Stegostoma tigrinum: one gene and its partners. The protein of the gene in region 1 interacts with the protein of each later gene in a pairwise test. Links are inferred from orthologs where the notes say so. Each region holds a gene or a part of one and is shown in the gene's direction. Other genes may lie near its edges.

Region 1 (8,138 bases):
CAGGATATTCAGATCCTTGATTTGCACTTCCCAGATATAGCTTAACCGAAGAGAACATGCACTCGCTTTTATTTTACCAACACTCCAATTTAGGAATAGATGAGTAAAATCTTACTCTTGTTTATGTCAGACAAAATAATCAGAACTCTAAATCTATCAAATGAAGAAATTCAGTTTTGCTGTTCTAAAATATTAATTATTTATGTAAAGTTTGTAAGATGTATTTATGGCTTCAATTTAAATCAATATCCAGTCACAAGAGATGAGAGAAATGCTCACAAGTTATGTACCAGCTTTCTTGTGATGTCACACTTCTTTTTGTGGAAGCAGCTCTACTGCTGGTGTATACATTAGGGACCTCTCCGCTTTTGCTGCTTCTTTCCTGAGTGAAGGCAGCTGAACTGTTCACAGTATTATAGATGTGGTCTAACTAGTGCCTTGTATTGTTTTTGCAAAAACTTCCTCATTTTTAACACTCCATTCCCTGGGAAATAAAGGCCAACAATTCATTTGCCTTCCCTATTACCCAATGAACGCCTTTGGTGACTTATGCATGAAGACACTGAAATCTCCACTGTGCTGCAGTTTTCTGGAGTCTTTCTCTATTTAAATAATATCCAACTGCTCTATTCTTCCTGCCAAAGTGCATAAACTCACATTTTCCCACATTATGTTTCAAAAACATGGCAGACAACATAATATCAGGCTGCTTTTTCCTTTAGGACCCAGCCAGCTTGGTCAACAACGGTGTTACTAAGCCACTCTAGGTGAAGGTTTACATATCATTTTTAAGTTAGTTGCAACTTTATTTTGCTACAAACTAATTTGTGTCAAACATGAAAGCACTGGACAAATACTTAAATATTTTCCACTCTTAAACTTGCATTAGCCACAGTTAAAAACCGGTATATATATATATAAAACAAGCCAAAAGGATATAAATGATATTGTTTGCATTTTCCATTTCAGCACCTCTTTGCTTCTTGGAACAGTACAGCTAATGTAGAATACTTGGTAAGCAAATGATTTTCTAAATCAATGTTACAGCAGTCACCCTAAATGTCAAATACATATCCAAATTGGGAAAAAGATAGTAAAAAGTTGAATCTACGCGCGGTAAAGAAAACTTTGCATTTACAGCACATTTCATGCCCTCATGTGATTTACACTGTTTAAGAACCTCAACATTGTTTCTTCCTAGCAAAACAGGTATTGGAATGTAGGAAATGTGACAGCCCCAGAAAAAGTAATATGGTAATGTTTAGTAAATCTGTATTTTTAATGGTACTGAATGAGGAACAAATATTGACCAGAACTTCCCATGAAGGACTGGCATGACAGTTTTCTTTTACATTCACTTGAAATAGTGGGCATGGCATCGACTTAATGTCAAAGCTGATAAAACTAACATTCAGATATAAATCAAAATGTCCTGTAGAGCTACTTGCTGACGAGGTAAACATAATCCTATGCTTTCCAATACAGAAAAAAAAATTGAAGTTGGTTGCTGAGCTGGTTTGTTGTTCCGCAGACGTTTCATTATCCTGCTGGGTAACATCATCATCAGTGCAGCCTCTGATGAAGCATTGGTGTGTTTTCCCACCTGGTTTTTAAACTCTGGAGTCCGTTGAGCTGGATTGCCTCACTTCCGGTTTTCCTTTGTAGTGGCGTGTATGTGGGGGGTCGAATTCTACGTGTTTATTGATACTTCATGGAGTACCAGCCTTCTATGAATTCCTGTGCATGTCTCTGCTTACCCAGGATTTTGGTGTTGTCCCACCATATACACTCCACTACGAAGGAAAACTGGAAGTGAGGCAATCCAGCTCACCGGACTCCAGAGTTTTAAAAACCAGCCGGGAAAACACACCAACGCTTCATCAGAGGCTGCACTGATGATGTTACCCAGCAGGGTAATGAAACATCAAACCAGCTCGGCCAGTCAACCAACCTCAACACCCACAACCCGCGCTACAAATCTACTCCAAAACCTTTAGAAAAGAAGAATAAATTCCACATTTTGAATAAAAACAACACTTCTTATTTCAACAACAAAACCTCAAATCGGTTCACACAATGAAAGCTAATGAAGAATTATAGAAACTGTGCTGTTTATAATAAATATAAACTAACTTCAGTAAATCAGCACTAATATTTTAGACAAATGATTTTAATCTCAGGAAATTGTGAATTACGTTATCTTGTTGTCAACTATGCAATTTTTCAGGGGCAGTGCAAGTGTGCCAATTGTATAAGCCCTTTAACACCTGTATAATGCAGCTTTCTGCTCTTTGACAAAGGACATTTTCTTCCAATTATTGATGCAAATTTATCTTTCTATTGTTTAGGAAACTACTTCGAACAGTTCTCTTTACTATTAGCACTGGATGCTTCAGAGGCATTAATATTGTCTCTCATGATTGCACATTTTGACTGCATAACTATGATAACATTTCAAAAATAATGATTTTTTCCCCTTTATATACGGTACAACTTTTCAATGCATGACCTTCAATTCAGAAAATATCTCAACAGTGTCTATAGATAGAAAAAAAGTATTGTCCCTTGAGAACTGATCCACATTGATGGCTAGGAAATAAAAATAATGCAGCTTTAAAGGGCACAGAATCAAGTAATAAAATTTCAGCTCGTGCTTAACATGCTTGATGGAACCAAGTTTATCAAAGTTTATAATACTATAAAAAAATGGATGAATTTGCCTTCAAAAGCCCTAAAAAGACTGCAAAAAAAAAGTCAATGCAGGGATGACAAATGAGAGAAATGTCATCCCCGCATGTGGGAGAGATAGAATGAGGATGGTGTGTGCATGAAGCCCAGCTTCTGGCACTGTGGCCTTAGTAAGCTGTGGTGAGCCTGAGCCAGGAAAGAGGAGAGTGATATGGTGATAAAGACTAAAGCGTGCAAACAAGACATGCACATTGTATTCCCTGTCTGGCATGTGCCTCAAAGCTGTAGCCTCATCATTTCCAACTGTTAAACCTGGATAATAGTGGATCATACACTCCAAACAACTTAATTTGTTAATCCATTTCCTTATACTGATGCCACATCTTTAAGTGTTTTTTACCCTAAATTTATTACTGACTTTAGTTAGGTTGTTGCTAAGCATGCATTTGTAGTAAAGTTCAAGATTGCTAGAAATCAGTTTTAATTTTTGTCATGAATTTTAAACTGAGCTGTCCACGTTGCGTCCTGACTGATTCAAAAGCCCTCCTACAGGCTGTTCTGCTCCACTTCACTCTGGTGTTTCTCTGCTTTGGCCACACATTAACTGTAATTAGTGTCAGAGCAACCTCATGTTGACTCTGCAATGTAAATGCAGCCTCCATGTGGGTTAAGCACTGAACAGCAAATGGTATCTGGGTTCTAATATAAGACATAAGATATCAAGGCATCTAACATGGAGCAGTGAAGACAGATGTGTGGCAAGATACTTTTATGTTTTAAATTCCCTTCTTGCAAGGGAATTTAAACTTAAATGAAACAACTGCACTGTTGTAAAGTAAAACACCTGATGCACTAATGTTCTCTTGGGAAAGAGATCAACCTTAAACATTCAGGCTTACGTGTGAATCCAAATACACTGCAATGTAATTGACTTTTAGCAGACGTCTGAAAGTGACTAGCAAACTACTCAGGTGTACTCAAAAAAAGGTAGTTAACCACTAGCTTTTCAAGGGTAATTTGGAATGGGGAATAGCACTTCAGATTATAGCATTGACACATGGTTACCATGCTCTTTTGAACTAATTAATCCTTGTCTTAAAATTGGAAAATCTGCTGTGTACTGCAATCTTTCCATTTGGATTACTAAAATGACATAAAAACTGAAGAAAAAAAATCAACACCAACACAGACAGTCATGTTATCACATGAATGTATCATCTAATGGAGTTAATGGAAATGAACAAAGTAGACTTTGAAATTCAAAAAAATCTCAAGACAGGCCTTGAAAAGAACTGAAACAGATGTATGCAGATAATACAGCCCAGGGTGGCCAGATTGGTGCGATTTGCTGAGTTCCTTGCTGTGGTGTTGACCACCCCACAAATCTTGGGCATATTACACCTCGAGAGGTCTTCTAACCAACTTGTTCAGAGGTTCAGAGACCTCGAACCGAGGTCTCCTGGGCAGAGATATTGCACAACAGTTATGTCCCTAAGAACACCAAAATGTAAATACTGCCAACCTCAAGTTGCCCAGCCTTGGAGTAGACCAGGGGTGGCACATTACGTAAACAATAAAAACTGCAAATGGTCAAGCAAATACATGTTACTTGGACAATGTCATAGTGGGCCTTACATCCCACATGAAATTAAGTAATTACTATGTTCTGAAGAAGGGTCACTGGACTCAAAACATTGCTTTCACTCCACAAATGCCACCAAATCAGTTGAGTCTCTCCAGCTCTTTTGTTTTTCTTTGCTTCAAATCTCCAGCATTCACAGTTCTTTGTTTCATTTCAGTTGCTATGTTAGGTGCTACAAGTGCAACAAATTCAGTTTAACTCTGAATAGACATTCCAAAAAAAATGCAATTAGGATACCTGTAGTGTTATTCCACGTGCTGATTTGATTTTCAAAATTATATGAGCAGTAACTGAAGGATCGTGATAAGCATAGTGCTGTTCATACAGTATGTTCCAGTTGCGAGGCTAGCGACATGGTAACGTCATTGATGGTAAAGTTGATTCAGAGATAGTAGGAATTGCTGATGCTGGACAATCTGAGATTACAAGGTGTAGAGCTGGATGAACACAGCAGGCCAGGCAGCGTTGGAGGTGCAAGGAAGCTAACGTTTCGGGTGTGGACCCTTCTTCAGAAAATGAAACGTCAGCTTTCTTGCTTATCTGATGTTGCTTGGCCTGCTGTGTTCATCCAGCTCTACACCTTGTTATCATGGATGGTAACGTGCCAGGTTTCTGAACCCTAGCATATTCTCTGGCATGTATAGTCAGAGGGCAGCCTGAATTTTATGTCGGCACTAGCTGACCCATAACCCTTGCTGAGGTTGTGGGCGGGAGGGGAATGGCCATGACATGCCAGATTTGCGAGGCGGAACACGTCACACCGGGCTGGTATGTTTTTTACAGATATACACATTCTGTATACAGAGTTGGGAATACGCTACGCCCGAGGAGGCCTGCAACAAACGCGATATCGAACAGGTAACCAGAAAGGTTTCTGATGAAGGGTCTATGCCCGAAACGTCAGTTTTTGCGCTCCCAAGCTGCTGCTTGGCCTGCTGTGTTCATCCAGCTCTACACTTTGTTATCTCAGATTATCCAGCATCTTCAGTTCCCATTATCTCTTACACAAAATTTGAATCGGGTTTGTTTAGAGTCGGTTGCCAAGACACCGCACACAGGACAGGGCCAGTAAGCCCCTGTGCTGCTGATAATGACATTAACATAGTCTCTGGCTGAAGTCATTAGATATTGTTTACCTCTCGAGTTCGCCATCTTTCTCCATGACAACTTCTCGCGCGACTCTAACACTGCTCTGAAGCTCGCGACTTCTTCGGTTTCTTTTGAAAGCCGCGTCTCGGAGCGAGCCGCCGCGGAGACCGCGAAAGCCCAGCTTTTCCCCGCCCCTCCACTGTCCGCAGCAGGATGGCCTATCTCAGCCGCCTGATCATACGTGCTCCGAAAGAAACAGCTGACTGAAACATGGTCGTTGTGAATAATGACGGGAAATAACATTCACTTCCTCCAGGAAATTATTTTTGTCTCTTCATTTCTGTCTCCCCTTCGTAAATACAAACCACCTACAGCTCTCCCCATTCGTGCAGGCAACGTTAAGAGACAGAAAGGTTTCCTCAGGTCGGCTTCACACTAACTTGCTGCAATTTTGGGGGTACAGGAGGGGAAGCGGTGACATTGTCGTGCGCTTTGATTGGTTTGCCTTTCACGCCTGCCTTCGTCGGTGGGCAGATCTTTGTGGCATCTCGAATTGTAATTGGATGTCTGTCCTGTCAATGTGGCTCCCCGACTAAGCAAGTTTATTTGACTGGTAATCTTCTGTACAAATCTTGAACACTAAAACCGAAGTTCTCGCAGTGAATGTTCACCAATCGCCTTGAAACATTCAGTTACTTGCACGATTTCTTGGAATTGTATGGCGCTGTATGGTTAGTGTTTGCTGTCTGCACCACGAAAGGTAAAGTAAACGTAAAGGAAAACCCATTTGATATTTATTTCGCAGTTATTGGTATCTTGACGACGAAGAATCTTGGAGGGAGTGTGTGAGAGAAATGCAGGCGCCTCCTACCCCTCCCAACTCAGTCTTTTTAACGTGAAATCTTCCTACTCCGGTGATTGATTTATTTTTCCCATACCGCTTCGCTGGTATAAATCAGAGTCTGCAGGAGAACGTTTTTGATGTGACCGTTATCTGGGAAGCTGCTGGATTGAGATGTGGGGAGAGCCGCTTGTTGCATAGATTGCTGAGGCTGCTTTGATATTTGACTTCGTGCATTTTAGACGTCTCGCCATGCTTTCAGGAGTGTTTGTTATTGCGCTCAGAAGGGAGACGTATGTGTATATTTATATATATCTATATGTGCTTGTTTATGGACAACATAAAACCTGCCACTCTGAGAGCACTAACAAACAGATGTTTAATTGATTCTGTCCACCACCTGCCCGTTTTCCAGTATCCGCAGTAATTTGTTTTTGTAAAGGCGAATAATACGTTGATATTTAACAATGAAATTTCATTTCACCGCTGTAATATTGATGTACTTCTCGTTAATCTATTAATTTGTTCAGTCGTTCAGGTCGTTTTGTCCATGCATCAAGTATTGACTCAAGTTTCTATTTAACCTTGCAAATATTTGAAGTAGAAGTGGTCAGTTTAGAAAACGTTCTTGCGTTGGTAAAGTGTAGAGCTCACTTGTTTTGTGATTTACTTATATTTTTATGACATCTCAACAGCAATCATTTTAAATTAATGGAAAAGCCTAAGATAAGCAGTTTTTATTTAAAACAATTTTAATCGTATGTTTTTTACGTCTTTCGAATTGAACGATTTTACTATTGATTTTTAAATACTGCCATATTGTGTTTTTTTAATAAAAAGTCATTTTTACAATCACTTAATAATTCTGGATTGAGTTTTGTTTGTGTACTTTTAGCAAAGAAAAATATCTGAATGTTTTGAATATGTTTATTTTAATTTGAAATGTTAACACTTTGCGCACCAAAAATTTCATTTAAGGGGTACTTGTGAGGATGTTAATTTATATATTCATTTTTGTACTTAGAATTGCTTTGTTCAGCAGTAACAAAATTGATCAGTGAAACCCCCTGTTATTCTGTACTGTGATGTACATATAGCTACTAGAAATCCTTGCAATTTTTGTAAATAAGAAACAAGAGATATATATCATTGTTGGATCAGTGGGATCAGATTTGTCTGGAACAAGGAATTTGCAGTCTCCCCCATTAGCTTGATTTGCAATTGCAAGTTTAGTTTTTTTGCCGTCAAATTACTGGAAGTGCCAGCTGATAATAGTCCAGTGAGATCAAAAAGATAATGATACCTTGCTGAACACTGGGACAATTTATGCACCTCTTTAATTTATGAAAGTAAATGACTGAAATAAATACTGATTTGATGTCATCTGGTTTCCATAAGTTAGCAATAATAGCCCAGATCTCCTGGTCTTCATTTACTTATTTTCTGGAGTAAGCCCAGTCTGTATGTTATTGAATTCTTTAGAAGTCCCAGTGGAAGGACTCCACCGGACTTGATGAATCTGAACTTTTGGTCTGCAATGCCTTGTTTCTGGGGCCCTCCGAAAATGTTTCCAATTCTCAGGTATAGTAGGAGACTTTTTGGATCATATACATCTATTTGCTGAACACTTACCCAGGAAATGTTGGAACAGGACAAAATCTGGTCTCACTCCTGGGTAGCTATCCAACTGTCTCCCCAACCTTACCTCCCAGCCACTTACACTGATTTCCCCCCAGTTACCCCTGCAACTGTACAAGCTTTCCTCCTGACACTCCAATTACCCTGCCTAATCCTCAAATCACCCTGACTCATGCCCAACTGACCCAATCCATTTGTTGCCAACCTGACTACCTTCATACCATCTTGCCCACTGTTCCA
Region 2 (7,231 bases), on another chromosome or scaffold:
TGTTTGTGGCTTCCTGTCAGAACTGAAAAGTTCGAGACGTAATGACATTATGCAAGCCCAAAACAAAAAAAATCTGATCCACTGGGTAGAAAGATGCCAGAATTCTTGGGTATTGATTTTACAACAGGTAATGACAGATTCTAAGATAGTAGAAACTGCAGATGCTGGAGAAGCATCCTTAGAAAAAGCTTCACAGTGGGGTTAAAATTGTTTTAGAGATAGTAGGAAATGCAGATGTTGGAGATGCTGCTTGGCCTGCTGTGTTCATCCACCTCTTCACCTTGTTATCAATGATAGTTTCCAAATTGGGTTTAAGCTGATCTGACATTGTTGTTGTTGGATCTGAAAAGGTTAAGACCTACTTGCACCACTCACTGTGATGTTGTTGTGGGGATTTGGTTGGAAGTAAAGTAGGATTTTGTGCAAAACAGATGTTTAACTGATCATCCTAAAAGTTAGTGTAATAATGTAGTGTTTATTATTACGTGTAGATAGTTGCAGAGATGTAATGAACTATGTATTGTTTAATGTACACAATGCTTCTTATAAGACTGGAAGTGTCTATTGTCACATTCACTAAATGGTGTCACCCCAAAGAACCCACACACATAGAAAATATGAATGTCGGAGTATATATCATACAACAGCAAGGCGAGACCTGGTTACAGAGTGGTGTTAATGCTGGTATTACACCAGGCAATGACAAGTTTCTGAGCTTTGGAATTGCTGATATTACACCAAGAAATGATTGGTTTTCAAGTTTTTTTTAATATGGATATTACATCAGGTAATAACTGGTCATTGAGTTATTTAAATACGAATATCATACGAGACAGTGACTGCTCACTGTGTTGAGCTAATGCTAATATTACCCCAGCAGTGACTGGACATGAAGATGCATTAGTGCTGTTATTACACCAGGCAGAGATTGGTCACTGTGTTGAATTAATTATGTTAATACACCAGGTGGTGACTGGTAACTGAGTTGAGTTAATGTTGATATTGTACCAGGCAAAGCTGCTCACTGAGTTGTGTTGGTGTTGGTATTACAGCAGGTAATGCTGGTTAATGCAATTCACTGAGCTGTTACGATCAGAATGCCTCTGACAAAGGAGCTGCATAGGAGGCTGCTGAATATGATAACACCCCATAGTGTTGGGGTAAAGTGCTGGCATGGACAGAGGATTGGCTAAATGGCAAAAAACAGAGAGTGGGGATAAAGGAGTATTTTTCAGTATGGCAGCCAGTGACTATTGGAGTTCCACAGGGGTCAGTGTTGGGACTACAGATATTCACGTTACACATTAACCATCGAGTCAAAGGAACTGAAGATTTTGTTGCTAAGCTTGCAGATGACACAAAAGTAGGTGGAGGGACAGGTAGTGTTAAGGAGGTGGGGAGACTGAAGAATGAGTCAGACATGTAGGCAAGACAGCAAAGACATGGCAGATAGAACACAACGTGGCAAAGTGTGAGGTTATTTATTTTGGTAGGAATAAAAGAGCCATAGACTATTTTCTATTTGGGAGAAGTTTTGGAAATCGGGAGTGCAAAGATACTTTGGAGTCTTAGTTCAGGATTCTCTTAAAGTTAACATGTAGGTTCGGATGACGATTAGGAAGGCAAACACAATGTTGGCATTGATTACAAGAGGGCAAAAATATAAGAGCAGAGATGTCCTGCTGAGGCTGCATAAGGCTGTGGTCAGGCCACATATGGAATTTTATGAGTGGTTTTGGACCTAAATCTAAAGAAGGATGTGCTGGTTTTGAAGTTGGTCGAGAGGAGGTTGACAAGAATGATCCCAGGGATGAAGGGCTTGTCATATGAGGACTGGTTGAGGACTCTGGGTCTGTACTCAATGAAATTTAGAAGGATGGGAGGGATCTGATTGAAACTTAAAGGGTACTGAGAGGCCTGAATAGAATGGCCATGGAGAAGATATTTCCATTGATCGGACAGACTAAAACCTGAAGGCACAGCCTCTGGATGAAGGGAAGACCCCTTAGAACTAAGATGAGGAAGAATTTCTTCAACCAAAGGGTGGTGACTCTGTGGAACTCATTACTCCAGAGGGCTGTGGAGGCCAAATTATTGAGTGCATTTAAGACAGAAATAAGTAGGCCCTTGCTTAGCAAAGAGATCAAGGGTTATGGGGAGAAGGCAGGAAAAATGTATCAGCCGTGATCAAATTGAGGAACTGATTTGATGGGCTGAATGGCCTCATTCTGCTCCTATATCTTATGTCTTATTATGTCAGATAATGCTGCTCACTGAGCCTTGATGGTGCTGGTATTACACCAGGGAAAGCTGCCCACTGAATTATGTTATTACTGGTATTTCATCATGTAATCCTGGTTAACACTGCTCCCTGAGATGTGTTGGTGCTGGTATTACAGTAGGTAATCCTGGTTAACATTGCTCACTGAGCTGTGTTGGAGCTGGTTTACGCTGCTCACTGAGCTATGTTGGTGCTGGTTAATGCTAATTATTACTGGTCACTGAGAGGTGTTGGTGCTGGTTCACGCTAGTTAACCCTGCTCCCTGAGCTGTGTCCGTGCAGGTTAGTACTGCTTAACCGTGCTCCCTGAGCTGTGTCGCTGCTAGTTAACCCTGCTCTTTCAGCTGTGTCGGAGTTGGTTAACCCTGTTCCCTGAGCTGTGTTGGTGCTGGTTAATGCCTGTTAATCCTGCTCCCCACACAGTGTTAATGCTAGTTAGTGCTGGTTAACTGTGCTCCCTGAGCTGTGCTGGTACTGGTTAATGCTTGTTAATGCTGGTTAACTGTGCTCCCTGAAGTGTGCCAGTGCTGGTTAACTGTGCTCTCCACACTGTACCATTGCTAGTTAGTGTTGGTTAACCATACTGCCTGAGCTGTGCCAGTGTTAGTTAGTGCTGGTTAACTGTGCTCGTTAACCATGCTCCCTGAACTGTGCTGGCACTAGTTAGTGCTGTTTAACCGTGCTCCCTGAGCTGTGTTGATGCTTGTTAACCATGCTCCCTGAGCTGTGCCGGCGCTAGTTAGCGCTGTTTAACCGTGCTCCCTGAGCTGTGCCAGCTCTAGTTAGTGCTTGTTAACCATGTTCCCTGAGCTGTGCCGGCACTAGTTAGTGCTGTTTAACCGTGCTCCCTGAGCTGTGTTGATGCTTGTTAACCGTGCTCCCTGAGCTGTGCCAGCGCTAGTTAGTGCTGTTTAACCATGCTCCCTGATCTGTGCCGGCGCTAGTTAGTGCTTGTTAACCATGCTCCCTGAGCTGTGCCGGCACTAGTTAGTGCTGTTTAACCGTGCTCCCTGAGCTGTGTTGATGCTTGTTAACCGTGCTCCCTGAGCTGTGCCGGCACTAGTTAGTGCTGTTTAACCGTGCTCCCTGAACTGTGCCGGCGCGAGTTAGTGCTGTTTAACCGTGCTCCCTGAGCTGTGCCGGCGCTAGTTAGTGCTTGTTAACCGTGCTCCCTGAGCTGTGCCGGCGCTAGTTAGTGCTGTTTAACCGTGCTCCCTGAGCTGTGCCAGCGCTAGTTAGTGCTTGTGAACCGTGCTCCCTGAGCTGTGCCAGCGCTAGTTAGTGCTTGTTAACCATGCTCCCTGAGCTGTGCCGGCGCTAGTTAGTGCTGTTTAACCGTGCTCCCTGAGCTGTGCCAGCGCTAGTTAGTGCTTGTTAACCGTGCTCCCTGAGCTGTGCCGGCGCTAGTTAGCGCTGTTTAACCGTGCTCCCTGAGCTGTGCCGGCGCTAGTTAGTGCTTGTGAACCATGCTCCCTGAGCTGTGCCGGCGCTAGTTAGCGCTGTTTAACCATGCTCCCTGAGCTGTGCCGGCGCTAGTTAGTGCTTGTTAACCATGCTCCCTGAGCTGTGTGCCGGCGCTAGTTAGTGCTGTTTAACCGTGCTCCCTGAGCTGTGCCGGCGCTAGTTAGTGCTTGTTAACCATGCTCCCTGAGCTGTGCCGGCGCTAGTTAGTGCTTGTTAACCATGCTCCCTGAGCTGTGCCGGCGCTAGTTAGTGCTGTTTAACCGTGCTCCCTGAGCTGTGCCGACGCTAGTTAGTGCTGTTTAACCGTGCTCCCTGAGCTGTGCCGGCGCTAGTTAGTGCTTGTTAACCGTGCTCCCTGAGCTGAGCTCGCTGGCCAGGGAGTGCGGCTGCGCGCTGTCAGTTTCCGGCCGGGGATGGAGCGGGTCTCGGTCCGAGCCGCTTGGCCGTGCGGCCTGGGCCGGTTGCGGGTCTCGGTCACTGAGTGCGATTCGGATGATGGAGAGGTCGCTGCCTGGTAAGGGGGAGATCAGGGATCGGTTCGTGGTCTCTGCGGGGACCCGCCGGATCAGGGCCCCGCTCGGTGGGGAGACTGGGCCGGAGCCCTACTCCCACTCCGGGGAAGAGGGGTGTGTGCAGGCCCGGCGTTAGTGTAGTGCATCCAGCCCCTCACTGCCTCCTTCTATCGCGAGCCACTGGACTATAGACAAAACGTAGACACTAATACAAATCTTTTTAAAAAGACTGATCCGCTGTTTCTTCTCATTGTGGATTTGATTTTTTTAAACAGAGTCTTGCTATTGTGAGTTTATTTCGCCGCCGCTGATGCCACAAATACCGTCAAAATGCCTATGGTATCCCTTAGAACCATTGGCTATTTAATCGTTAATCTGAATGTAGGTGGGACTTACCCATGGAATACCCACCACAGCAGATTCTGTAGGCATTGCCTGGGGAAGCTGAATTTTCCACTCGCCCTGCTTAAGTGGCAGACCGCAGACGGTTCTGGTGAAATTAAGTAAAACTTACTTGGGCAACGTTGTGACGATTAAATTCATAGCCTAACTCCCAGCTCCTGATGGCTGACCCATCTTACTGCCTGTGGTGGTGCTGCTGAGTACTTTGGCTGCTTGTCACACATGACTGATTGAAAATCCAGATGTTGTTAAACAACTTTCCAGATTACTAGCACACAATAAAATTGGATAATAGACATAAATCCTGGGGTTTATTATCTTTATCTCCATTCATTGGTGGTAACAAATACACTTTAATGTTTTGTCTTTTTGGTAACATAATAAGCAATGTGATTTTGATGATTGGTCAGTTCTTTGTGATATAAAGTGATGTTAAATGTAGTCTACTTTTGCTACTCTCAAGCCTTGTCTGCCATTCAGTTAAATTATTGCTGATCTGCTGCCTCAATGCCACTTTGCTAAGCTATTCCCATATTACATTATGTTTTAAATATCAAAACAGCCATTACTTTCTGTGTTGAATGTATTCAATAATTGACCTTCCACAGCCCTCTGGAATACAGAATTCTGAAGATTCATCACCCTCTGAGTGCAGATATTCTCTCTCATCCCTATCATAAATGGTCCACCCCTTATAATGAAACTGTCTCTGGGTTCTAGATTCACTGGCCAAGGGAGGCTTCCCACTGACAATTACCCTTGCTCGTTTCAGATAAATCCCTGGGGCAGGCTGGATAAGAGTAACTTTAATGCTTTCTCTAGCAATCTTTTAAATCGCCTCCATTGACCTAATGCAGACTTTAACTTTTGTTAGCCATGTTTGACTCACCCTTTTTGTTGGTTTTGATGTCTTAGGGGAAGGTATATTTATGGTAAACATGTAATATTTATTTAAATATTAGCTATTACTTGCTTACCTTAAATATTTTCATATATTTTCCCATTCCACCATAGTAACTTATTCTCAAAAGAACTAGGAGGAGGAATAGGAAATTCAACTCCTTGAGCCTGTTCCACCATTTAACACAACCATGGTTGATCTCATCTCAGCTTCAACTGTCCTTTCCTGACTGTTCTCTAAAACTCTTCAACCCTATGCTAACTAAAAATCCATCTATCTCCTTAAATTTGCTTGACGTCCCAGCATTCCCTCTTGTCTAGGGTTGTGAGTTCCACAGATTCATGACCCTTTGAGAGAAGTAATTTCTCCCATCTCAGTTTTAAATCTTCTACCCCTTAGCCTAAAACTATGACCTCATGTTCTAGATTGCCCCATTTAAGGAAACATCCTGTTTATGTCCACTTTGTCAGTCCACTTCAATATATACCTCAATTTAGGTTTCCTCTGAGTCTCTAAACTCCGGGAGTACAATTTTATTGAATTGCAAACGGCATGTCGTAATTGTGAAGTATTTGATTTAATCAGTATTCAATTTTCACTTCATTGAAAATGTTGTGGTATACCAGAAATATAACACTATTTGAGATGGAAAGACGAAAAGAAAATTACAATAGGCTATAACTTTGAAATAAAATGTTTTACTTTAAGTTAAAGGTGACATTGTTCCCTTTGTTATGATTCAGTGCAGAACTTGTTACTTTGGAACGGCCTCAAACCAATACTGTGGAAACTCCATGTATACTCTATCTACGGTTCTCTCCTCAACAACCTGCTGACATAGTCTTTGTAGAGGTATGGAGCGAAGCAAGAATGATGGAGGTTTACACAGGAGAGTACTGCGGAACAAGCCGTGGCCTAAGACTAGACAACCTACATTTAAATGGGTAACGTTGTTTTAGCTCGCAGTATTAACCTCGAATCGGCAGTCAGCAGACTAATAGAGTTTGTAAAATATCAGCTGAGCACTCTAAATGATTATTATAAATTTTGCCATTAGTTAGATTCTTCTGATATTTCTCAAAGGTCCAATTCACTGCCTTTTAAATTCTCTAGTACACTGCCTATGAAACAACCAGAATGTCATTTAAAAAAAGACCATCTGACCTACTAGTGCTGCTTTTGGGGGAAAAAAATCTGTCATCTTTAACAGTCTGGCTTGTGTGATTCCAAATCCATTGCAATATACTTGATTTTTTTATGCTGTCTGAAATGGCTAGCAGACCACTCAGTTCCAGACAAATTCTCACAACCTTCTTGAGGACAATTAGGGCTGAGCAAGAAATGCTGACCTTATCAGTGTTGCCAAAAACACACACAGTAAAATAGGTCCACTTGCAGCTATGTGTAGGAGGATACAGTGGTTTATAGGAAGCTGTTTTTCAGTGTACAGTTCCATTAACAGATTGTTTACATTTAATGACATATTTGTTACTGTTAGACAATGGTTTGGTTTAAGGGGTGATGCTATGTGATTGTGTTTAAAGATCGAGACTAATGCTGGATAGTTTTGCTGTGCCTCCAAAAAGGTGATCACAACACTTCCAAATTTAGGCCTATTTAATAATACTAGTGCCCTATATACACAGTCCAAATTCCTTTGCTGGCTTTAAC
Region 3 (7,382 bases), on another chromosome or scaffold:
TCGATGACTGTAACCTTATAGTTTACTATCAGCCCAAACACTTGTATGCCTAAGGAATGTAATGTTTTTACACAATAATTTGACATAAACTGTGGGATATATTTATATGTTTTAATATTTATTGTAAATTTAGTATTTTGGTTTTTGCATTGGTAACCAATGGGTTTTTCTGTGTGTTTGAAAATAACAATTAACAGTAGCCATTATAATTTCTCTAAGAAATTGTTTTCAAATTAATAGGATTTTATGCACATTGATAGTTTTATGATCCAAACTCCAGTGTAGAGGATAAGAGAGGTCTTTTTTAAAAAAAACGAAAAAACTGTAAATCAGAAACAAAAGCAGAAGTAGCTGGAAAAGCTCAGTAGGTCCGGCGGCATCTGTGAAGAAAGATCAGGGTTAATGTTTCAGGTCCAGCGACCGTTCCTCAGAACTTAACGTTTCTGTGAGAGACCTCTGTGTTACAACCAAAACAAATCAAAATATAGTCTATCAGTGCAAGTTCTAACATCAGCCGGGCTCAGAACGAGCAGGGACTCTTGATAGGATTTTTAAATTCACTGGATTTAAGAGGGATCTGTGTCTTTCGTGTTAAAGTCATAGCTACAGAGTGGTTCTGGATATACAGCAGCTGTGTTGTGGTGAAGTTTATTGCGCAAAATTTAAAGATGGTTTTTCAAGTTGCTAAGTGTTTTCTGGAAGTGGAAGACTTGTCAAAGAATTATTTAAGATCTTTGACTAAAGCTAAACTGACATTTTTAGCAGGCACATTGACAGCAGAAATAAAAGCAAGATCTCATATGTATGAGAAACTTGGAGTGCAATATTTAGAATTGGGATCCCATAGCTGAAATTAGCTAAAATACAGTAAGGAATGAAAAACAAAACTGCACTTAGAAAAAGAGAAATTTAAAAACTTGGAAGTGAAGAGAAAAGAAAATGGAGAATAATGGAAAGACAGGACAGAGAAAAATAGGAGAAATGGAATAAAGAAAATTTGAACTCCAAAAAGAAAAGGAAACTAAAGAACATGAGATAGCAAAAGAAAAGCTTAGAATGAGAAAGGGAGGAAGGGGCAATAATTCAGATGATTCTCATTCCAATGAGGGATTTGATTAAACAAAATTCTAAACTTAGTGCCTAAATTTTAATGAGGATGGAGTCAGAAGATATTTTACCTTAACTGAGAAGGCAGCTAAACAGGTGAAGTGACTACAATGTTTTGACAGGTATAACAATGACCTTGTCAGAAAAACAATCTGCAGCGTATGAAACTATCAAAGAGGTAATACTCAAAACTTATGAATTTGTGCTTGAAGTTTATCAATTGAAATTTAGGACTTATAAGAAAGAGCCAAATCAGACATTTGTGGAATTTGCAAGGGAATAAGAAATGCTGTAGAATCAGTGGTTTAGGTCACTCAAGCTAGTGGGTGGAAAATGGAAGGGAAATTATGATCATGGAAGAATTCACAGGTAACACTTCTGCAAGTTTTTTAAGTTACTTAGATAAGCATCAAATGTTCAAGATCAGTGAAGCAGCAGATATAATTGTCAGGTTGTAGGGAAACCCCAAACCTCAACTAAATCTGTACTATTAATTCCAATGAGATAACAAGGTGTAGAGCTGGATGAACACAGCAGGCCAAGCAGCATCAGAGGAGCAGGAATGCTGACGTTTCAGGCCTAGACCCTTCTTCAGAAATGGGGGGTGGCCGAAGAGATTACAAGAGAGTCACAGTGGGAGAGAGATCCACTGAGGTCTTTCCGGAGGGAGGAGAGTAACTTCTTCAAAGTAGGCATCCTTAGAAGAGGCTTCGCAGTGGGGTTAAAATTGTTTCAGAGATAGTAGGAACTGCAGATGCTGGAGAATCTGAGATAATAAGGTGTAGAGCTGGATGAACGCAGCAGGCCAAGCAGCATCAGACAAGCATGAAAGCTGACGTTTCAGGCATAGACCCTTCTTCAGAAATGGGTATTTCCAATACTAGCTTTTGTGGTAACATTTAGCAGGGTCTTAATAGGTTATGTAGGATGGTAGCCATAATGTGGTGGTACCAGTGTTGGACCCAGGTGGACAAAGACAGAAGTCACACAACATCAGGTTTATTTGAAATCTCACAACCTTTTGGAGCACTACCCCTTCATCAGGTTCAGTCAGGTGCTGCACCTAACAAAGGGGCTGCACTCTGAAAGTTTGTGATTTCAAATAAAATCTATTGGACTTTAATCTAGTGTCATGTGATGTCTGATTATGTAGGATCCCTACCAAAAACCAGGTATCAGAATTCCTTTGGGTATTCTTTTGTTACTATTTGCCATTAGAGGAATGAGTCCATAGAATTTGGTCTCTTTCAAATAAGATGACCACTTAAAATGATTTCAGAAAGTTAATAAACTAAAGTTCAGAAACAACACTTCCAACTGATGTCTCAAATTTTAGACAGAATCATACTAGCACATGTGAGTTGACTAAAAAACCATTTGAAGGAAAGTCAACAAATAATGTAAACTAGAACAGGCAAAAAGGCCAGAGATTTTTTGAAATTTTGTTGCAGGAGGGAAGGTTGTTGCCTGTCTGTGGGGAACCATTAAAAGCAAGGCTCAGTGGACTTTAGCAAATTAAGGAGAGACTTAATGGTATAAATTATGTAATAAGCACTTCAGACAGAAGAAAATGTCAGTGAGTGTGTGAGGTCAATGTACTGAAAAGATACACTGATAGGGATGGCAATCGAGAGAAAGTGTACTTAGTCTAACGAAGGAAGTAGAGAGTTAAAGAGAAATGCTAGTGCAATGGAAGAATGAATCTGAAATGGAAAATTCAAAAGTTAATTTCCAAAAATCAAACTGGAAAATACAGAGGAAGCTAAAAGATTAGATAACATCATGTCTTATCTTCTTGAAAACTACTGAAGTGACTTACAAAGGCTAACACAGAATTATAAATGAATCCATGGGAATAGGCCAGGAAAGGCCGTTTTGGTTATACGTGATGTTAATGTGGGGAATGCAATATCTATAAAGCAAACCTGTTTAGACTCAATCCAAAGAGATTAGCTCAGACGCAGAAAGGTTATGATAGGCAATGACTTTATGGAACTGGATCAAAGTAGCTGGAGACATCATGATGGTGCCAAAACTGGATGAGTCACAAATATTCCAAGTTGATTATTATAAAGTCAGTATGGTTATGACAATTGATTCATATCCTATACCAAAACTGGAGGATTGTGTCAAATTATTTGGTCACGCCCATTCCTAAAATAGAGTTACTAAATGCAAGTTCTTTTAACCAAGTGGGCGATGAAATTTTGGCTTTTGTTACAGCAGATGGACTTACCTGGTCCAAAGTTGTATCAATTTGGAACAAAAAATGCACCAGCAATGTTTCAATGGTTAACTGATAAAGAGATACAAGGATTGGTAATTCTGTCGTTTACGTTTGGTTGCTTATAGCTCAGCCTGGGAAGAGCATTTACACACTTGATTAAATTCTTTGGCTGTGAAAAGCAAAGTTAGCCGTAAATATGGATAAGAATGATGTGCTAGGGCCAAGGTGACTTCTTTGTACCATACTATGGGACACGGTCAAATCACACTTAGAGAAGCAGCTGTACAGGCTGCTTTGATTTTCCATGTAGAAGACAAAATGTGAAATTATGCATTATTTTGGCACGAGTGGATTCTATCACACTTAAAAGTGCACTGTTGCACTTTTAAAAAGCTGGAAATTTGAATGGGTGTTAACTTCCCTTTAAAAATTTGAAAGCTGTACCAATAATGGTACTGTTTTAAACCGTGCCAAAGTATGCAAAGCTGTTCGAACTGGCTGTTGATGAATGGCTTGTCAATTATTTTTTGAAGAAATTACCACGTGAACAAAAGATATTCAACTACTGAAACAAGAGACAATAGGTCTTGCTTCGGCTGATCAGCATTTTGGCATATACATTATCAACAATAAGGACAATATTGTTATCTATACGGACCATAATCATTTGGTTTTCTTGGAAGCATTTTCGGGACAAGCATTTACGATTGTTTCAAAACAACCGGGTCCACGAGCTTACTTGTTGGGTAGAACAGGGTGTCTCTAAGACCATGCGAACTACTCGAGCGGTAAACACATTAGTGGTATTTCTTCTATAACGCCATGATTACGTTATTGCATGACCGCGCCCTATCAATCAAATGCCAAATAAACTAGCAGGACCGTGCAGCAGTGGTACACTGTATCACCGCGGGGGGGCGAAATCCAGCTTCTGCTAAAACAAATGCCAAGTGCTGACGTATGCAGAGGAAGAGGGCAAGACCGATGTGACTCTTGGACAGACCAATAACTTGTAGCCGAGCATGGCTTCTGAACTTTACGACAAAAAAGAAACCTTAACTCTCCGAAAGAAGTACATCGCGTATGTATTCAGTCAGGTGTGCTCTCGCTGCGATTTATAACGGGGCTAGGCGGAGTAAAGTCCATGTTACCATGTTTGCGGTTTGTTTCAGCCTTATCAGCAATGAGCGAATTGCAGGTCCTTGTATCAGTCCCCTCACTGTTTATGTAAAGTAGCGTGAAGAATTGAAAGTGTTATTACTGAGTAGATGAGCTGATTGGAGACATTCCTGGAGGGCTGCTTATGTAACATTCACGTACAGTTTGTTCCTAAATTTAGCTCCTAAAGGGTGGCTAGCGGATAGATTAGTGAACACAGCAGGCCAAGCAGCATCTTAGGAGCACAAAAGCTGAAGTTTCGGGCCGAGACCCTTCATCAAAGAAAAAGTGGCGAGAGTGTTGAAGGTAGTGAATGAATTGTCCTTCAAGTAGATGGCCTTATTGGATTATTTTCATCCAGGCAAATGGCTAACTTTTTGAAACAAAATAAAGTACGCCTAGTTTGTGGGATGGAATAGATCTAATTCCTGCTTTGTAACTGGCCACAACTTTACTGTCTGCGCTCACAAAATAAGCAGCGACAAAAACAAAGGAAACTTTCAGGCGCAGCCTAGTCAGTCATGGGGCTGTCCTAAAATTGAAACAAAAAGGCCTTTAAAAGACGTGAGACAAGCCATCAAAATAAGGGCAGGTAGTCCTCTTCTATCCTGGCCTCTGAGCTCCTGTTGTAGCCACAGCATTTATGTTGCTCTCCTAATTAACTTTCAGGTCAATGGTAAATCCTGGGGTGTTGATGGTTGCATATTCATTATTGGTAATATCATTTGACATCAAAAGAAACGGTTCAAATTTCCTTTGTTGGGAATGGTTTTTACTTAGCACTTGTCTGGTGCAAATGTTCCGTGCCACAATTTTAGTACAAAGCCTAAATGTCCAACTCTTTCAGTAAATGTGGTCAGACTGAGTCAGTATCTTAGAAGATATGAATTGCACTGTAAACTGAACATTTCTAACCTTTTTATAGTGGAGGAAAGCTCATTGACAAAGCACTGAAGATATTTGGGCTTGGAATGCTGCACTGAGGCATCAGAGTTCCTGGCCTGTGGTGAATGGTGTTCAACAACCACAAATCTCCCTTTATCATAAGTTTAACCCAATGAGTTCTTCTGATTCTCGTTACTTCAATTTTACAAAATTTGGTGTATTTGAGATTACAAGTAAATAGAATTTCTTTAAAAAATCCTTCAGTGTCAACTAAAAACGTTAACCAATGCATCCCTACCCGTACCCACATAACTACAAAAGAGATGTTATAGCACACTTAAATGTGTGATTATACTTTGAGGCATATCTGAGCTCCAGGTGAATGCTTCATTCTCCTCAAATATGAACCTATGAAGGGCCATGGTGTAGAATTCAGAGGATATAAGTGTCCAGTACAAAGAATCAGAGAGTGCTAAGGGTGTGGAATGCCCTGCCAGCCAATATAATTAACTCAGCCAAATTAGGGGCATTTTAACAGTCCTTGGATAAGCATATGGATGACGATGGGATAGTGTAAGGGGAGGTTGCTTAGATTAGTTCACAGATTGGTGCAACATCGAGGGCTGAAGGGCCTGTTCTGCGCTGTATTGTTCTATGAACAACCAGCATATATTTAAAAATCCTGTACTGTGGACAGCTAACTAGAATGAAGGTTTATTGTTTTTTGTGTTTTTATTCATTAAGACAGCATTGTGTTACAAAGACTTCATGTTTTGTTTTAATGGTAACGTATAGTGCAGTTTAAAAATAGCATTAGGAAAGATTAAAAGAATAAAAGGTTCAAAAATCTATAAATGATTTAGTTATATTGTGATCTCTACATTTTATTTTCAGATCTTCTTGCAGGCTTTTTTTTCCTGATGACCCTATCAAGATTGTCAGAGCTCAGGGGCAATATATGTTTGATGAAAAGGACAGAAAATATTTGGACTGTATTAATAATGTTGCTCATGGTAAGAAGCTCATCTAAACGGATGACAAAGCTTACATAACCATTAGGGAAGCTGTGCGTAACATTTACACTTCTTACAATTTTTTAATATATTCCTGGCTACTTTGCTTTCTACTTTTTTCCCCTCTTGTCGCAACATTTTAATCATCAGTTGCTGGAATCTAAAACACTCTTATTCCTCAAATTTACCACCATTCCTTGCAATATTATAAACCTTCTATTTTAATCTGATGCTATGCTTAATGTCTTATTAAGGCCTGGATGAATCTATTTTGTTAAGGTTTTGTTCGTTTTTAAGTGGAATTTATTTTCACTGAATACTTTGAATTGTTTCTTTAAATTGGCTTTATTTAAAAATTTTAAGAGTCTTGTCACTTTCAAACGTATGAAATTCAACTGTATTTACCATTACACGTTTTGCAATGAGATTATGAATTAATTAGGTCTCAGTAAACAATACTACATCTAAAATAGCTTTATCACTATTTGGTTCTAAAATAACTCCATGAAGGCTGGTATCCTATCATCAAGTCATTCTTTATTTACATGTGCCTAGTACATGACACTGACCCAGCTAGATCAGAGCTGGCTCCTAGACTGTTTATTTCTTTTTGGCTGCCAGCTCAGTCAGTCACTTCAGCAGAGGAGTTTCTAATCTCCTGATATATATATACGCATATTTTCCCCCCCCCCAGTTATTTAATCCCCTTTTTTCCCCAACCCCCCCAGTTCTCCAGTACCCTTGTTGTGCATGTGTAGGTGAGAGACACAGTTTAAAGAAAAACTCCAGGTTTGCAAATAACTTTATTAACATACCACCAGCAGAAAGAAAAACAGCCAAAGAATCAGTATCAAGCACAGCCCATCGGGGCAAAGCCTACCTGAAAGGAAAAAAAGTGAGGGGAAGGGAAATAAGGCACTCCACACCCCGCAGTGCCCATCTCTTCTGAAAAGTATCGAGAGAGTATTGTTGGACAACGCGTGCTCCTTCTC
Region 4 (7,496 bases), on another chromosome or scaffold:
CCCATCCCAGGCCCCAAGATGACTTTCCATATCAAACAGATGTTCACCTGCACATCCGCCAATGTAGTATATTGCATCTGCTGTACACGGTGTGGCTACCTCTACATCGGGGAAACCAAGCTGAGGCTTGGGGACCGCTTTGCAGAACACCTACACTCGGTTCACAGTAAACAACTGCCCCTCCCAGTCGCGAACCATTTCAACTCCCCCTCCCATTCCTTAGACGACATGTCCATCCTGGGCCTCCTGCAGTGCCATAATGATGTCACCCGTAGGTTGCAGGAACAGCAACTCATATTCCACTGGGGAACCCTGCAGCCCAATGGTATCAATGTGGATTTCACCAGCTTCAAAATCTCTCCTCCCCCCACTGCATCCCAAAACCAGCCCAGCTCGTCCCAGCCTGCCTAACCTGTTCTTCCTCTCACCTATCACCTCCGTCCACCTCAAGCCGCGTCTCCATTTCCTACCTACTAACCTCATCCCGCCCCCTTGACCTGTCCGTCCTCCCCGGACTGACCTATCCCCTCCCTACTTCCCCACCCATACTCTCCTCTCCACCTATCTTCTCCTCTCTCCATCTTCAGTCCACCTCTCCCTCTCTTGCTATTTATTTCAGAATCCTCTCCCCATCCCCTTTTCTGATGAAGGGCCCAGGCTCGAAACGTCAGCTTTTGTGCTCCTAAGATGCTGCTTGGCCTGCTGTGTTCATCCAGCCACACAGTTTGTTATCTTGGAAGGGGAATCAACTCCTTTGTGAAAAGAGAAACAGTGTTAATATTTGAGTCTGAAATGTCTCTTCTTCTGAAGTCATACCAGGCTCAAAATATTAAATTTCTTTCTCCCTCTGTGGATGCTGCTCAACCTGCTGTGTTCTCCAGTATTCTGTGCTGGTTTCAGAGTTCCAGCATGCACTGTATTTTGCTTTTATTTGAATCAACTTCTTACTGTTGGCATCAGTCTGAAGCACATTGACATCATGGATAAGAATGGGAAGCAGCAATGAAAGTAACAGGAGATTTACCTGCAATATAAACAGAAACATACAAGCTTCTACAAGCACAAGTGGACATGCAAGGTCTCAGTTTAACATGTTATGCGTACAAAAATATCTATGATATTTTAACACTCCCTCAGTGCTACAGTGGAGTGGTTGACTACACTTTGCGTTCAAGTCACTAAAGTGATATTTGAACCCAGTGAACCAACACTGAGATTGAGAATGTCTATAAAGTGAACAAAAGCAACAAACACAAGACTGATGTATGGCGTAACAAAATTTACTTGCAGCATAATGGCTCAGAGGTTAGCACTGCTGCTACGCAGCACCAGGGACCCAGGTTCAATTCTACCCTCAGGTGACTAGCTGTGTGGAGTTTACACATTCTCCCCATACCTGTGTGGGTCTTCTCCCTCACTCCAAAGATGTGCAGGATAGGTGGATTGGTTATGCTAAATTGCCCATTATGTTCAAGAATGTGTAGATTAGGGGTGTGGACTTGTTGGGCTGAAGGGCCTGTTTCCACACTGGAGGGATTTGATGATAATTTTGACATTTTGCAGCAAAACTGAATACAGTAACATACTAAAAAGTTAAATCGGCAAATACAATATTAAAAAAGAAAATGCATTAGTATTTTGTGAAGATTGTATATTAAAATAAAAATGTACTACTATGTCACAAATGATAATGGAAATACTCATGTTTATAGAATCATAGAATCCCTACAGAAGGATGCCATTCTGCCCATCAAATCTGCATCTGAGGAGCATCCTACCCAGACTCAGCCACCTACCGCATCCCCATAACTCCACATCTACCATGGCTGATCCTGCACATCTCTGGACACTACGGACAGTTTTAGCATGGCCAATCCACCTAACCTTCACATCTATGGACTGTGGGAGGAAACTCACACAGACGTGGGGAGAATATGCAAACTTCACACAGTCACCGAAGGCTAGAATTGTACCCCAATCCCTGCAAAGGCTGCTGGCAGTTTTTGATGGCGTTCTATGTATTTAACAACTGTCTCACTTCCTAGTAGCAGAGGAATCCTTTAGATTGTTGAAAGTGTTCTCTGCTGAATACTTTTGCAAGCTTATTCAGTAGCTTTCAGCAGACAGCTGTCAAACTGAACTTGGAGAGAGAATATATGATTTAATAACTTACATTTACACAAAGAAATTGGAAACAAAAGAAAATGCATGTGACATCTGTTTCTTATTCTGTCTCTGAACTAAAAACATACTTAGTTTTTCAATATTATCAATTTCTAAGACCTCCTCCTCATTAGAACTACCATATAGCAGCTTTTTTAAAGCTGGAATTCATCTAGGTTTGACCATCATGTGAAAAATGTTTCATTCTTTTTCCTGATAATTGCCTGTTATACCTACACATTAAGCTTCTTTACGTAGGTTTTCCCATTAATGGTTCGAAAATAGCTTTTTACCTCATTAAAGAGACATTGACATTTTTTATTTAGGTTGCCCCCCAAAATATTATTGTTTCAAGCTTCAACTTTAATATTTGCAGGTGGTAATGATATTAAGTGGAGAAAAAAATACTGTGTCATTCCATTGAAAACGAGAGATATATAATTTTGAAATTATCAAGTACTCAGTTTGATTCATTGATTCTCAGAAAGAATATTGGGATTGAAGGGGACTCAGGTAATTGAAACATTTCCTAAGGAGGGATGTTGAAGGAACTGTGATAAATTTCCAAGTCAAAATGGTACATGACTAGTGTTCCATGTCCTTGTTGGTGCCCTTGTTGTCTTGGGTGGTGTAAGTCCCGAATTGGAAGGTGCTGTGGAAGTAGCATTGAAAAATGTTTGTAGTGCATCTCTAAAATGTACACACTCCAGCTAAATGTTTGAAGTGGTAGATATGGTGCAATTCACCTTGCCCTAGATCTTGAACAGAAGGAATTGTACTTATTCAGGCAAGTGAAAAGTAATGCATCACATTCCTGGTTTGTGCTCTGTAAATAGTGAAAAGCTTTGTTGAGTTAGGGGATGAGTAAGTTGTTGCAGAATTCTCAGCTTCTGACCTGGACTTGTGGCATGATAGAACATAGAACATAGAACATTACAGCACAGTACATGCCCTTCAGCCCTCGATGTTGTGCCAACCTGTCATACCGATCTGAAGCCCATCTAACCTACACTATTCCATGTATGTCCATATGCTTATCCAATGACGACTTAAATGTACCTAAAGTTGGCGAATCTACTACCATTGCAGGGAAAGTGTTCCATTCCCCTACTATATATGGTGGTTGTTCCAAGTTTCTGCATGGTCAAGGGTTACACACAGATGTTCATAGAGCAGGATTCAGCAATGCCTTTGAATGTTATGGGGAAGTGGTTAAACTTTCTTTTATGCATTGCTTGGAACTTGTGTGGCATGAGCATTGCTCATTTATTTATCTACACAAAAGTTGAAAGTTGTCCACATTGCTGCTGCATTTGGTTAGAAGCTTCTCACCACTTTACAAAATACTAATTTGAAACATTAACTGTGCTTTCTCCACAGATGCAGCCTGTCTTACTGTTCACAACACTTTCTATTTATATCAGTGATAATGGGAACTGCAGATGCTGGAGAATCCAAGATAACAAAGTGTGGAGCTGGATGAACACAGCAGGCCAAGCAGCATGTCAGGAACACAAGGTGCTCCTGAGATGCTGCTTGGCCTGCTGTGTTCATCCAGCTCCACACTTTCTAAATCCTCTGGGAATATATTTCAAATCTCTGAAGCATTTGTTGTGGGAAAAGCACTGCACCAAGAAACTGAAAATGACAGGCACTGAAGAGGAAGAAAACTTGACTTCTTTTGTTGATAAATAGAAAGACCGTAAAGGCAGTAATGTTGGTATAAAACAAAGAACTGTGGATGCTGGAAATCCGAAACAAAATAAATATTGCTGGAGACACTCAGCAGGTCTGGTAACATCTGAGAAATATTGACTCTGCTTCTCTCCACAGATGTTCCAAGTCAGAAATGTTATTTACTTTGCATTTCTTTTGTGATGGTAAATGCTCCGAAATCTCCTGAAAATGGTAGTCGCTTAGGCCGGATTTTTAGGCAGAAAGATATTCACTTCCGTCCGCCCGCCGCCAGGGGAAGGAAGGATCGTGCTGCGCTTGCGCGTTGAATCGCGCCGGATTGTGGGATACCGCGGAGCCTGCCCGTTGTTGTTGAAGGTTTCGGGGCGAAGACCCGGGAGTTTGCAGTGCCGATTAAATTATCTGTGAATTGTCATATATAGTTTATTTTCTTCTGTATTCTTAATGTCTTAGGTTCAAGAAAACGTCGTTGAAAAAATTGGATCGAGAAAGTAATTACTTTAAAAAAAATAAAACCTTTATTTAAAAACGCGAGATGGCTACAGACGTCATTCAAGTGACCAATGTGTCGCCGAGCGCCACCTCGGAGCAGATGAAAACTCTGTTCGGGTTTCTGGGCAAAATCGACGAGTTGCGGCTCTTCCCATCAGAGTGAGTAACTCCAAACTTCCAGACAGGCCTGGGGCCTAGCCCGCGTCGGATCCGCTTTTAAGACTTTTCCTTTTTGAGTGAAAGTAAATTTCTGTTGGGCGTACGTTTTATGAGCGTACGACTTGATATAATCCTTGAGTGAAAGTATTCACTTTTTTCTTCCTTTCCTCGTAAACGATTACGAAGTAGCAATTTTTCTCCTCTATTGTGTGGCGTTTGGACTCGCTGCCATCTCATACGCGTCATCTCCTTTATTCCCACCACATGTTCCAAGCTGTTTTTATCAGGATTCATATCGACGGTGTTCTTTGAATAAAAAAAATGAAACGAGAATGTTCTTATTTGAAAGATGTTTATTTGAAGGTACCCAAGCTTTGGAGGATTTATTATTACCGGGGTAAAGCAAAATGGCCGCCAATGTAACACCTTTCGTCAATCCTGTCAGACGATCCTTGTTTTCGATCGTTATTGTTCAATGATGTTGTGAACTTACTACTAATCATTATTAAATGTGTTAAACAGTGTTTTGAATAAAATTGGCTACATTTTGTGAGGAAAAGAAAAGCGCGAGCAGTTCAGAAGCAGACTTCAAGTGTCGTACGGCCTACACCTCGTGTTTCTTAAGTGTGGGGAAGTAAATAGGCTACTGAAGGAGAAATGGGCGTATGACAACACAAGTAAAGTGAAATTTTCATGGTCTTACAAAAGCCGTTAGCCATTGACTCAATTTGTAATTTCGGCCGAAAAACAGACGGAATTAAAAAATGAGAGATAATGGAAACTGCAGATGCTGGATGAGTCGGTTTTTATTTTTAAAAGTGAGAAAATTATAACTGATTTTATTGTTGTCAAGACTTGACAACATCTTTTGAAAGGAACGCACATCGGTAAATGCATATTACGTTAGAGAAGGATGATTCTGAACATTAAACATTTTATCCTTTTTCGAATATTGCTTGAGACTCTGAATCATTATATTTGTACAGTGTTTATTTATAATACTTGTATATATTTATGATTTGTTCTCTCCTGAGACTTGGTTGTTAAAGTGGCATTATTGGCACGGTGAACAGTTCCCTGTAACATTTTAATTACGTTGCTTAATTATCTTTTCAGGTATTTTCTGTTTGTTTCCTTAGGCAAAGATGTACATGCTTTAAACCTGAAGATTTAAAGCTCGTGAAGATTTGTAGCTTGGGTTGTGGATGAAGTTGTTGGCTTGCTTGCTGGGTTGGTTGTTGTTCAGAAATTTCGTCACTGTGCTACTTAACGTCATCAGTGCGGCCTCCGATGAAATGATGATGTTCTACTCCGAGATAATAGGAACTGCAAATGCTGGAGAATCCAAGATAACAAGGTGTGGAGCTGGATGAACACCGCAGGTCAAGCAGCATCTTAAGAGCAGGAAGGCTGACATGTTACGTTTCTGATGAAGGGTCTAGGCCCGAAATGCCAGCCGCCTTGTTCTGCTCCACTTGGTATTAATGTGATCCGGTCTGTTAAGTTGGGCTGTGTCATTTCCAGTTATGTTCTGCATGGGTTTGTATATTAGGTCTAATTCCACATGTTTGTTGATTGCGTTATGGATTGAAAACCAGGCCTCTAGGATTCCCCGTGTGTATCTGTGGCTGGCTTGAGCTACGATGGTCACACTGTCCCAGTTAAATTGATGGCCTTTATTGTCTGAGTGCCGAGACGAGGGACAGTTCGTCGTGTCGTTTTGCTACTAGCTGATGTTTATACACCCTTATGCAATCAAAAACGTGTGACATTAGACCCCACATACAAACCGATGCAGAACAGAACCGGAAGTGACTCACACCAGCTTAACAGACCAGATAGTAAAAATACCAAACGGAGTAGAACAACATTGCTTCATTGGAGGCCGCACTGGTGTTACCTAGCATGGCGTTGAAACGTCTTTGTCATAACTAGCCAGATCAGCGAGCAAGCAAACAACCTTAAACCCGAAGAATTTGGGTACGGATTGACTTAAAAATTTTTGAGGTTGTTATGCATAAAGATAGTTTCAAATATTATTTTTGTTAAACTTGGTGACTGATTTATCATAGCTACTTCCTAATTTTTGATATCAGAGGTATACCTCTTATCCCTTCATAAATCAGCTAACTTATTAACTAATGCTTTTTTATGCTCAACAGTTACTTGCTGGATAATGGTTTTCTGGAAGTTTTTTTTATGAACAAAGATGACTTAACCAGAGTCCAGAGGACAGCACTGCAGGGAAGAATAAATTATCACTGCTCGTAAAATGATGCTAATATTTAGTCCAGTGTCTAGATGATTTGGAAAGAAGAATAGGGTATTCCATAGTTCTGAGATGGTATAAGTGACAAGATTGGACCACAAGATTCAGGGGTGTCTCGGCAGGATATATGTGGAAAGCATATTTCCTCTTGTGTGAGAGAGCTAAGTGTCAATGCTTTAAAAATAAGGGATTAATCTTTTAAAGACAGGAAGATTTTCTTCCTACAAAGAGTCTTGGGACATTTCCTCAAAAGGTATTAGAAGCAGAGTATTTTGAATGTTTTTAAGACAAATGTTGATTAGATTTCAGATGAGTAAAGTATGAAAGGTTATAGGGATAAGTGTGAATTTTGAGTAAATCAACCAACCAAACTCTTATTGAATGGTGGAGAGTTAACTTCCTAGTTCAGATGTTCACATTATACTTAAGTCTTGATTCCGATGTTGGCACAAGAGACAAAATCTTAGATGGGATCAGGGTTTTGAGTTTGAACTTAGTGTAAAATAAGAGGCTGTGAATATAATCTCTGTTGAAAATAGTTTATATGTAATTCCATGGCAGGAGTGGCAGTCTGTCCACAAGCATAATATCCTGCTGACACAATTCAAGTATGATTGACATTTACAATTTAAAACTGCATGATATACAGTTGATATCAACTTGTGTAAACAGTTGTCTGGTAATTATAAACAGGCCTCCTGGTTCTAATGGAACTGTG

What was found.
Region 2: the proteins of lnx2a (region 1) and c20h10orf88 interact in binary tests that used the Homo sapiens proteins (3 or more experiments, as listed by UniProt). The link is inferred for Stegostoma tigrinum from reciprocal best matches to the Homo sapiens genes LNX2 and C10orf88.
Region 3: the proteins of lnx2a (region 1) and 5-phosphohydroxy-L-lysine phospho-lyase-like interact in binary tests that used the Homo sapiens proteins (3 or more experiments, as listed by UniProt). The link is inferred for Stegostoma tigrinum from reciprocal best matches to the Homo sapiens genes LNX2 and PHYKPL.
Region 4: the proteins of lnx2a (region 1) and srsf11 interact in a two-hybrid assay, tested with the Homo sapiens proteins (3 studies listed by BioGRID and IntAct). The link is inferred for Stegostoma tigrinum from reciprocal best matches to the Homo sapiens genes LNX2 and SRSF11.

The regions. Positions count from the first base shown.
Region 1 is NC_081359.1:78,386,795-78,394,932, reverse strand, and holds the start of lnx2a (ligand of Numb protein X 2a), read left to right. Parts: upstream 1-5,051; 5' UTR 5,052-5,188; intron 5,189-5,466; coding exon of another isoform or gene 5,467-5,492; exon of another isoform or gene 5,493-6,147; coding exon of another isoform or gene 6,148-6,179; intron 6,180-7,784; exon of another isoform or gene 7,785-7,841; intron 7,842-8,138. Other genes in the region: si:ch211-140b10.6 (protein POLR1D-like), read right to left, coding at 5,467-5,492.
Region 2 is NC_081373.1:28,390,310-28,397,540, reverse strand, and holds the start of c20h10orf88 (ATPase PAAT), read left to right. Parts: upstream 1-4,126; 5' UTR 4,127-4,158; coding exon 4,159-4,259; intron 4,260-6,303; coding exon 6,304-6,504; intron 6,505-7,231. UniProt on the Homo sapiens protein: ATPase that regulates mitochondrial ABC transporters ABCB7, ABCB8/MITOSUR and ABCB10. Regulates mitochondrial ferric concentration and heme biosynthesis and plays a role in the maintenance of mitochondrial homeostasis and cell survival.
Region 3 is NC_081366.1:36,575,330-36,582,711, reverse strand, and holds the start of 5-phosphohydroxy-L-lysine phospho-lyase-like, read left to right. Parts: upstream 1-4,273; 5' UTR 4,274-4,356; coding exon 4,357-4,415; exon of another isoform or gene 4,416-4,417; coding exon of another isoform or gene 4,418-4,431; intron 4,432-6,271; coding exon 6,272-6,390; intron 6,391-7,382.
Region 4 is NC_081361.1:52,973,169-52,980,664, forward strand, and holds the start of srsf11 (serine/arginine-rich splicing factor 11), read left to right. Parts: upstream 1-4,182; 5' UTR 4,183-4,393; coding exon 4,394-4,509; exon of another isoform or gene 4,510-7,496. UniProt on the Homo sapiens protein: May function in pre-mRNA splicing.